Danio rerio: one gene and its partners. The protein of the gene in region 1 interacts with the protein of each later gene in a biochemical or structural test. Links are inferred from orthologs where the notes say so. Each region holds a gene or a part of one and is shown in the gene's direction. Other genes may lie near its edges.

Region 1 (3,760 bases):
GTTTTTTTAAATAATTTGTGATAGAGTAATATTTTACTTCAATTTTATTTATATCTTTAGAGTGGAAACCAAACATGACAATTTTAGAGCAGTCCTGTATCCAGTGGAATTGTGTAAAAAAAAGAGAGGGGTTTTGACAACTGATCAAAATAACAAATGTTTTAATGTGTTGTGAAGAAAGAATCATTGTTTTTCCACCAAATATTATTATTTATGAACTTTTCTGAAGTTAAAACATTAGAGTTTGGTGTTGTCTTAAAATGAATATAACACATCTCCTTAAAAACGTGGAACTTTTTTTTTTTACTTAACGAAAAGCTCTAAATGTCAACATTTTAAATTAAGAAGAAAAGTCATCAGTAGTTTACAGAATAAAGTATACATTTCTATGTATTTGACTCAACTTTAAAAAGTAATTCGAAAAAAACGAATATTTTCAAATGGTCTCAAATATTTTCCATAGCTGCATACATGAGTGTTTCTACTTCTATCAGTTATTTACATTCTTCCAAATGTTTAACAAACATAAAGTACAAGTTTCTCAAGGACTGTATTTGGCTTCCTTACAACTTATTTAAACTAGTATTTGCTAGTATAAAACGATTCAGTAACGGCACTCTCAGACAGTTAGACGATTCGTTTTGAAACGAGCGATTTGTTGACGAACGAAAAGACACCGCTAGAGAGCAGCAGCCGGAACTGACGTACTCTGAATCAGAATTACTGAATGATGTGGCAAAAATAAAACGAATAACTTACAATTAACTAGACCACTTACAGCGACACTTGTATATCAAACATAAAAGGCTATGTCTCCAAACACTCACACAAACCAAACCAGGGCTTTGACAGTCGCCTAGTTGATGAACAAAATCGCTGAAATCGCGAATGTCCTTCCGCCGCAAAGTCCGCACTGCTGCTTCCGGATTGTCAGTCTGAGCTGTTTCCGCCGCCATTGCGGGTCTGAGTGAGTCCCATCCGTGCAGAGAGGGAAGAAAAAACATCAACCATCTGGCGGATTGGCTTGACACGACGAAAACGCGACACTTGCATTCTCCGCGTATTAAAAGCAACATTCCTACATTTGAGCTGTTTTGAATCGGGCTGTCCGCGGAGAGGAGGTCGTCGCTCGCTAAAGCTAGGCAGAATTTTTGCGAGGAGTCCGGCCGGGAGGATTGAGAACACAAAGCCCAAACCATGGCTCAGATCCTGCCTATCCGCTTCCAGGAGCACCTGCAGGTGGGTTTTCATCACAGTCAAGCTTTATGAGATAATTTTGAGACGTTAATAATCGGTGGCCGTGCTGTAACAGAGGTGACAGTGCTCGTTAGCTTTAGCACTAGCTCAATGAATGACCTCCCATCAATTTCAATGGCTGTGTATCAAAAACTCGCGAGCTGCCAAACAACATATCTAACGTGAGCGTTAGAATCAAATAGCATGCGAGGATGTGAAATGTGAAATGCTCAAATCAGAACATCGAGGTCGTTGTTGGGAGCAAAAACGTTTCAATATTACGTGTGAGTAATGTTGAGTTTGTGATGCTCAGAATATGCGGTCCTGGAAGGCAGGTCACTAGCTTTTGAGACACAACCTATGCAGGTGCATGCAGTGATCGGTGACAGGATTAAGGCAGCTTTATAAAGCTAAAAACATGCTGGGATTGATTTTGTCAGGAAATGTGTCGGTTGATTAAAACGTAAGCTCTCACATTTATGCATTGTTTATTGGTATTGAAAAAGGGGAGGTGATATTTCAAAATCTGTGATGAAAATCAAATGATTTTTAATAAATAAATAAATAAACATAATATGTACTCAGCCAGCATACATGCACATATAAAATATCAGGCATAATGACGGAAATTATAAGTAAACCAGAGATTGACAGGCATCAAGAATCGATTTGTATAGATGAAGGTTTTGTGCATTAACGTGACATTTTACTATTTTACTTCAAGAATCTCGACTTTTGTTGTAGTGTATAATGGAAACCGAGACAGTTGTTAAAAACATAATATTAAAGCATAAAAACAACAGCAGATTTATTTCAACACTATTTAAAGGTAAATAACAGTCCCTTCACACCCACAAGAAATATAGTAATGTTTATTTTACTGTATAAGGGTACGTTTAGTAGGCCTGTCATAATATCCATTTTTTGTTTTACGATATATAGCACCAACTTGTTTTGCGATAAACAGTATTAGAGTGATTTTAAGACACTATAATAGCATCATAATGCAAATACACTCTTTCATTTAATATATAATTATTGTCATTTTAACAACCAAACAATTAGGAATCAGAATGTGAAAATGTATATCCCAAACAAATGAATAATAATAAAAAATTTTGACAAAAAAAGTGCTTGGTAAAAAGAATCAGTAAAAATGTAACAGATCTATCTTCATTCGTCTGACACCCACACGAAAATATACTATAGTTCATTCATTCATTTTCTTGTCGGCTTAGTCCCTTTTTTAATCCGGGGTGGCCACAGCAGAATGAACCGCCAACTTATCCAGCAAGTTTTTACGCAGCGGATGCCCTTCCAGCTGCAACCCATCTCTGGGAAACATCCACACACACATTCACACACACACTCATACACTACTGACGATTTAGCCACCCAATTCACCTGTACCGCATGTCTTTGGACTGTGGGGGAAACCGGAGCACCCGGAGGAAACCCACGCGAAGGCAGGGAGAATATGCAAACTCCACACAGAGCCGAGGTTCATTCCAGGGACCTTCTTGCTGTGAGGCGACAGCACTACCTACTGCGCCACTGCCTCGTCATATACTATAGTTATTTATGTTTAATACTAGTTTTAGTTATAGTTTTTTAAATATACTTACACTAACACCTCCAATAGACAACAAGAGGCTGCGCTATCATCTAAAATGTGGCTAGACTTATGTATGGGCAATATATATTTTATCACCAAAAATGATTGAGGACATGTCCATATCTGCGATAACTTGATATATAGATTATTGTGACAGGCCTAACGTCTATCACTTTGTGGCATACTGTATTGACTAACAAATACGTTTAGTTTTGCCACAATAAACTGTGATGTAGATCAATATACCATATAATATATTATGAAATCATTGTTTTAATTACTAGAATTATTATGTTAACATAGCAACTATAATATTACCACAACAGTTTAAAGTACTTAAATATAGAACTCTTCATAAGTGCTAGTGTTTACTTTGTCATTGTTGTGTTTTTTTTTTTACATGTGGGCAAATACAAAATTTATAAACCAACATTTAAGTTTTGCATCATCTTTTTGTACATCTCCAATACTTGGTTGAAATACCAAAATTGAAATAGTATCTCTGTAATTGTGTAAATAAAGATTTCACTAAGTGAAATAAAATTAAAATAATACATTTTATAGCTTTATCAAATTATTGCTCTCAAGTTTTTATTGTGGGCGCCATGGTGGCGCAGTGGGTAGCACGATCGCCTCACAGCAAGAAGGTTGCTGGTTCGAGCCCGGCTGGGTCAGTTGGCATTTCTGTGTGGAGTTTACAATTTCTTCCCGTGTTTGAGTGTATGGGTGTTTCCCAGTGTTGGTTTGTGGCTGGAAGGGCATCCGCTGCGTAAAACATATGATGGATAAGTTGGAGGTTCATTCTGCTGTGATGACCCCTGATTAATAATGGGACTTAGCTGAAAAGAAAATGAAGTTGTTGTTATTATTATTATTATTTTTTTTATATGAGTTATGTACATCAAATGT
Region 2 (3,660 bases), about 340 kb from region 1:
AAGGCCTTGGGCGAGGTGAGAGTCAGTCTGGGTTTTAGTTTAAGAAAACAGTTGATTGAACAGCAATGTTGGCAGGGCTCTGATATGTTTTGGGCATTTGAGTATCTGCTTGGGGGTCTTTCCTCATTTCAGCCCCATTTTTTTCCGCTCACTTTTTGCCAGTCTGTCTTGCTCAGTCTAAATAAAGGCACAAAGTAATGAAAATAAATCTTCGATAGATTAAAAAGAAATGTTAGAATGTAATTAGCAGAAAGAACCATTTTAGCACACTTTTCCTGAATGATTTATAATCTGCCAAAACCGGTATAAAGTATTACTGTTTTTTTTACTGCATATTATACAGCATATACTGTATATCGTCCAGTGTTTTTTTCTTTTAATATTTTGAATGGCTTTTTATTTGTATATTTCGGGTTTTAACTACTTTTTTTCGTAACATTTTATTCAGGATTTCTAGGTTCAGACAAAATCTTACCTACATTCTTAGTTATTTCTGCTGAGAATTTTGTAAAAACAAACTTTGGATTTATGTTGAATGATGTTTTTGGAGTGTTGTTGCTAAAAACTTAATATATGTAATAAAAATTTATACTTTTTTATCTTTAATATTTAAAATGCAAATCCAATTAGATCCACTAAATTGATAAACTAAACAAGTCTCTCATATAATACATCTACTAAAAGACAGTAAATACTACTAATAGTCAATAATATTACTAAAATTAATAAAAATTGAATAAATTAAAATTTACACACATTTACCCAAATAAATGAATCTGCGGAAATCTGCGAATGCAGATTCCATGTGGGCCTACTTATTCCCCAACAAATGAGCTCTTTACAGATGAGGGAATTGTAAAAAAACAAACAAACAAAAAAAAAACAACAACAAGCAAACAATAGTAATAAATATATCAAGATAAAAAAATATATATTCATACAGTTATTACCATCATAATGAATTTTCAGCAGATGCAATTGTACATCAAGTTACTTTGTGTTATGTTGTAGTTGCATCAAATTAGATAATTAATAGGTTAATTAAGCTCTAAATTGAAAATAAAAATATTGTAATACTTTTCCTCCTCTTCATTCAATTTACTGTTGATTTTCATAATTTGAAGGTTTTTTTAAATTGTCATTTTAATTTTTTAAAATGTATGTTTAAATTTCGATTGTCATTTTAGCTTAAACATTATTTTTTCTAAGACTGTTTCACATCTAATTTTTCAATTAAATTTGATTTCTACTTGTTAATAAACTGTTTTTAATTGTTTTTATAATTTAATTGTTCACTCAGGTGCAAAGGTGTCATCTAAATTCATTTTCGCTTTAGTTTTACATCTGATATTTCCATTTAAATTGATGTCACATTTACTTAATGTAAATAATTTGTACTATTTTAGTGAATGAAAACAACACTATTAATACCAGTAATTGATTTTATATTGTGAAACGGTATTATCTGTATATAGTATTACACATCATGAAGACCATGATATGCTTAAAGTGAAAATGAAAAATAAACTCCTGTGAAGTCATATCTTTTGGGGCAATCTTTCCGTAATACTGAATTTCAAAATATATTATTTGCAAATTCAAATGTTTAAATATAAGATTTTAAATTGAATAATTATTTTAATAATAATTTGTAAGTCATTAATCATTAGTATGCTCCGATAAATAAAAAACAAGAAAAAGCTAGAAGTCACTAACTGTAAATGTGGGAACAAGCATATTGCATTACTGTACTCCACACAGTTTGCTCTGGCTAAATATTTATAATTTTAGCATATATAGTAGACAGTAAACAAAACATGCTAACCATTTCTTGCTCGTATCCTCTTGTGTTTTGTGTGAGCAGAAGTTGCGTCCTCGGGGTTTGGAGCTGCAGCAGGGGGAGCTGGGAGATCTGGTGGAGCAGGAGATGGCAGCCACATCTGCAGCTGTAGAGTCTGCTGCCGCCAGGATTGAGGTAATCAGACGGCTCCCATTCAGACCGACGCTTAATAAAACATGAAGCGCTCCGGTCCACTCATCTAATGCTTTTCCCCTTTGCTCTCTCACAGGAAATGCTCAATAAGTCCAGGGCGGTTGACACTGGAATCAAAATGGAAGTCAATGAAAGGTCAGACTGACCGAGCCACATGTGTGTTATGAATACAAATACAGTGTTAATTCTCAGTGGATTTGTGAAAATGTCACTTTTTTTTCACTTGGATAGTGCTGCGTGTTTACTGTCACCCCAGACGCATTAGCCGACCCACCCTGACGCATGCTAAACAGGCTTTATTTGTTGCTTTCTGTCGCCCCCTGCAGGATTTTGGCGTCCTGTACAGATCTTATGCAGGCCATCAGAGTATTAGTTCTGTCCTCCAAAGACCTGCAGAGGGACATTGTGGAGAGCGGCAGGGTGAGGAAACCGAACACTTTGAGCAAAACACATGCTAGTGTTGAGTTTAAAACATGTTTCTGAAGTTTCTTGCGTGCTTACAGGGAGCTGCATCTATGAAGGAGTTTTACGCCAAAAATTCCAGATGGACCGAGGGTCTCATTTCTGCCTCGAAAGCTGTGGGCTGGGGCGCAACCATGTTGGTGTGAGTATTTCAGAAATTGAGGGGATGTATGTTGAGCTTGACATGGAATAGCCACAAGGTACTGATGTGGCAATAAACAAACAAACAAACAAACAAACAAACAAACTGAAAATTGTTTTTGAGAAATGTTACGATACGCCAATCTGTAACAATTTAACAAAAACAACAACATTTAATTGTAGATATTTCATATAATCACAATTGTATGAGATGACAATAACTGTGCAGAGTACATTTCATTTAGGAGTTTAGGCTCATAAAAGGAAATTAATGAATAAACATGAATCAAATTTATTAAAATTTTTGCAAATTAAAAGATGCATTTCACTTCACCTTGTGTCAATTACTGTATATTTACACACTGCCTCTAAAACTTTTGTGTCATAAAAAATTGTACAATAGGTTTGATTTTTTTTTTTTTTTGATTCGTTAATTTCCATTCGTAGCAAACATTTTGAGTGGTATTTTGACAATACAGAGCCACCGTACAAGTGGAAGCCAGGTTCCTGGATGCTAATGCTTGCAACACAGAGTGCTTTGACATTCAAAGTAGGGCTGCATGATATTGAAAAAATCTTACATTGCGATATTTTGTTTTGTTGCGATTATTTATTAATACAGTTGAAGTCAGAATTATTAGCCACCTTTCATTTTTTTTTTCTTTTTAAAATATTTTCCAAATGATGTTTAACAGAGCAAGGAAATTTTTACAGTATGTATAAAAATATTTTTTCTTCTGAAGAAAGTCTTACTTGTTTCAGATAGAATAAAAGCAGTTATTATTTTTTTAAACACCATTTTAAGGTCAAAATTATTAGCCCCTTTAAGCTATATTTTTTCAATAGTCTGCAGAACAAAACATCATTATACAATAACTTGCCTAATTACCCTAACCTGCCTAGTTAACCTAATTAAGCTAGTTAAACCTTTAAATGTCACTTTAAGCTGAAAAATATCTAGTAAAATATTATTTACTGTCATCATGACAGATAAAATCAGAAGGTTATTAGAAATTAGAATTAGAATTATTAAAACTATTATGTTTAGAAATGTGCTGAAAAAA
Region 3 (3,660 bases), on another chromosome or scaffold:
ATTTATTTATATTTTAAATGCACTAAAAAGCAAGCGCATATCTTAGCCTTGAGTTTGTTCACACTCTGCCTGTATTAACATAAATGCTGTATTTTAATATAGCTAATTTTGATTAGCTTTAACTGACAGCCTTTTCTTCTTTTTCCGCGGTTATGCGGCATTATATTTCACACGCATATGCAAGGTGACTGAATATGAAATTAAAATACAAAACTTACTGAGCCATTAAGTAAAAAAACAAAACAAAACAGTTATACTTTAAAGCAGAACATTGACGTTTTGAAATAAAAAAACGCAACTGAAACTAAATTATTAAAAATAAACCTGCCAGACTTAATTTATGTCCTATTTTCATTATTTATTTATTTTCATTATTCGTTTATTATTATGTACTGAAACATAAAATGAGATAGTAAAATATAATCAACAACGAAAATGTAAATAAAAACGTAAATTAAAAACATAAATGAAAATATCTTGTCTTAGTCCTATCAAAATAGCAAACTACATCTCTCTATATTTAGACTAAAAGACTGCTTTATTTATTTAATTATTTATTTATTTATTTATTTATTTATTTATTTAAGACTACTTATTTGTACTGAATGTTTATGCTTTCACTTTAGTTGTCTTTCATTTCTTCAGTTCTATTTTCCAAAACGAATCCTCTTTGCACTTAAAAAGTTCACAATAAACCAGGTAAACAAATTTTAAATGTAAGTTGAGGTGATCGCAAGTTCACAACTGTGAGGTGATGTGCTCTACTGGCAGGATAATCTATATTATTTTGCTGTTTTTCATATGCGCACGTTTAAGATTTGAGATAATAACATTGCCATGATAGTCAAAGAAATCAAAACATTATTTTCACCCCAACGCAATTTAATCGGGCACTGAAGGCTAATAACTTAATTCTTATATTTGCTTTTTGACTTCTCATCATGTCTTTTCTACAGCATAGTATAGTGTAAGAGCATGTCTATTACCAGAAAAAACTAAATTAAAATTATATTTTAATTGAACACATCACATCACACACAGTAAGCTACGCCTACAGAACAGTCTGTTTAGCATTGTGAAAAGGCAAAGCTGAATATCTGTGGTTAAAGTGCCACCCAGCGGTCAAATGCTGCTGGCGCATCAAGTACCGCCGTCGCCGCGGTATGAATGGCGGCACAAGGAACACATTGAAGTAGTAACATCTGTATATCAGTAATATAACACAATTATTGCTGTTTTCTCAAAAGCAGAATATTGTATTCTAGAGCTGCACAAAATATTTCAGCAGCAAATTATAATATTTGTAGTTTTTGCAAAAAAATAATTGTATTAAATTATTTAAATGGTGAAGAACATGCAGTGTTTTGTTTGTTATTCAGTGTATATTATTCAGTGAATACTTTAAGACTGCTCATATTTTATTTGTATCGTTGCTCTGTTGTATTTATCTATACTTTTAATATGTTTATTACATTTATTGGAGATGCACTCTCCTACAAATTCATTCATCTTTATCTTTTGATCTTTATGTCTATAGTGCTTTTACAAAGTAGATTGTGTCAAGGCAACTAAACTTAGAAGTTCCAGTAAATTGATGTTTTGTCTTTATTTTTGTAGTGCTTTTATGATGCACATTGTGTCAAAACAGCTTACCATAGATGAAGAAAATAGAATAAAAGCCACTTTGTAGAACATTCCAGCATTTAAGGCAGACAGGAGAGAAGTCGTACAACTGTTTTAGTTCCAGTTAGATTAAAACTGATTCAGTTCTATTTAATAAAGATTTCACTGCTGAAGTTCAGTTCAGTTTAAAATGTAACTGCTAAAGAGCAGGCCTTAAACAAGCAAGCCAGTCCAGTTAGATTAAGTTCCAGTTAGTTCCAGTTAGTTCCAGTTAGATTAAAACTGATTCAGTTCTATTTAATAAAGATTTCACTGCTGAAGTTCAGTTCAGTTTAATTAAAATGTGACTGCTGAAGAGCAGGCCTTAAGCAAGCAAGCCAGTCCAAAGGATCCAAAACATCAATTTATAAAAAAAAAATGGGGAGAAATTAGGCGCAGTCTGGTTTTATAACATTTTAAAAGCACTGAAATCAGACAACGTATCTCAGTTAAGGTCAGACAATTTTAGGCATTCTGTGAGAAAATGGAATTAAGCATCTAAAAGCAAGCCTAACGGGCCCAAGTAAATTGATCGTAAAAAATGCCTCTATCATGAAACATTTTCTAATTGCAGTCAGAATGACATGACTGGCAAAGAGAGTGACCTGAATGGAGAGAGTCAGGCATGATAGGAAGTTTGTTGTTATTAGAGAATGCCTAGTAGTGTAAAGATGCCTTTTGAAAACCTAGTGTATATAATTTAATTTGATACAAATCTGTTTAGACAGTCAAGACATAACAATTAAGAATTATTTCAAGTCAAGTCAAGCCGTATTGTCATTCTACTACACGTCAGAACATACAGTTGAGTACAGTGATGTGTCTTGCAGTACCATGGTGCTACAAACTACAATGTAGATATTGGGACTAGCAGAGTTTTGCATAGTTCAAAGTTCCTCAAAATATAAACTTAGTCTTTCTGCTATTTCTTCTTGCAGTGATAATGAGGAGGACAGAGTTTCACAGAATGGGCGTCCTGCAAAGTTGGAGTTCAAAGACGATGAGGAGATTATTACAACCAATAGCATTCAAATCACTCAAAGCACAGATACAATCACCTCCAACTCCACTACCACCACCCTTACACGCAAACGTGGTGGAGTCCCATCTAAAACAGTTGACTTGGGTGCAGCTGCTCATTACACTGGAGACAATAGTAGTCCAGAAGCTGACAACAAGGTAAAATACTGGCCTTTTAATTAATTCCACTGTTATTACTTTAATAGTACAGTAGATGGCTCATAAAGGCATAATTGATGTCAGTGTTCTCAGTTTGAAAAAAATAAATCTGTCAACAGGAGCCTTGTGAATATAAGTGCATTAATGTACTATTAAAAATAGTTTCACATTAATGGTTCATTACTTCTTTTTGAACAAGTGTTACTTTATATTGATTAAAATATTACTTACTTACAATTGTTGACAATTTATAAATCTATATATCGAGTATTTACATCATGATAATACAAATAATGCATAACCTAATCAGTGTAACTTAATCAGCTTTTTAAAAATATATTTTTTACATACACTGCAAAGCTAAAAATACAAAGTTTGAGTGGACCTATACAGTCGTAGCTGTAGTAGTGATTATGGATACAAAAGCAAACCTCTGCTGCCATCGTGTGGTAAAATATAAAATCATAATATTTTTTTTCAGACCTCAGCAAATCAGTCATCCACCCCAGGACTGACAGATTTGTTGATTGTTCAGTCTGGTTCTGGTCATCTGTTGTCTTCAGGTAAAACCCCATCAGGTGCATTCTCCATATTTAAATGCATGTTTTTTTGCTAAGCATTTATTATTGCTCACACAAGGTTAAGCTTTCAAACTAATTTGGCATTAATTATTTCTTCCAATTTTCTTTAATTCTGGAGATTTAACTCATGTAGATTTTCTTACTCTTACAATTAGATGTTCTTCAGTGATGCAGCTAGATAGTTTTACATTATGGGTGTGTATTGTATGTGTGTAAGTATTTCTCAGTATTTTCAATA

The links.
Region 2: the proteins of cltcb (region 1) and hip1 form a complex in vitro, tested with the Homo sapiens proteins (3 studies listed by BioGRID). The link is inferred for Danio rerio from reciprocal best matches to the Homo sapiens genes CLTC and HIP1.
Region 3: the proteins of cltcb (region 1) and clint1b form a complex in vitro, tested with the Homo sapiens proteins (2 studies listed by BioGRID). The link is inferred for Danio rerio from reciprocal best matches to the Homo sapiens genes CLTC and CLINT1.

The regions. Positions count from the first base shown.
Region 1 is NC_133190.1:19,716,698-19,720,457, forward strand, and holds the start of cltcb (clathrin heavy chain 1), read left to right. Parts: upstream 1-932; 5' UTR 933-1,197; coding exon 1,198-1,239; intron 1,240-3,760. UniProt on the Homo sapiens protein: Clathrin is the major protein of the polyhedral coat of coated pits and vesicles. Two different adapter protein complexes link the clathrin lattice either to the plasma membrane or to the trans-Golgi network.
Region 2 is NC_133190.1:19,375,667-19,379,326, reverse strand, and holds part of hip1 (huntingtin-interacting protein 1), read left to right. Parts: coding exon 1-15; intron 16-1,864; coding exon 1,865-1,975; intron 1,976-2,069; coding exon 2,070-2,128; intron 2,129-2,319; coding exon 2,320-2,413; intron 2,414-2,496; coding exon 2,497-2,597; intron 2,598-3,660. UniProt on the Homo sapiens protein: Plays a role in clathrin-mediated endocytosis and trafficking. Involved in regulating AMPA receptor trafficking in the central nervous system in an NMDA-dependent manner. Regulates presynaptic nerve terminal activity.
Region 3 is NC_133196.1:37,155,545-37,159,204, forward strand, and holds part of clint1b (clathrin interactor 1), read left to right. Parts: intron 1-2,600; coding exon 2,601-2,841; intron 2,842-3,322; coding exon 3,323-3,419; intron 3,420-3,660. UniProt on the Homo sapiens protein: Binds to membranes enriched in phosphatidylinositol 4,5-bisphosphate (PtdIns(4,5)P2). May have a role in transport via clathrin-coated vesicles from the trans-Golgi network to endosomes. Stimulates clathrin assembly.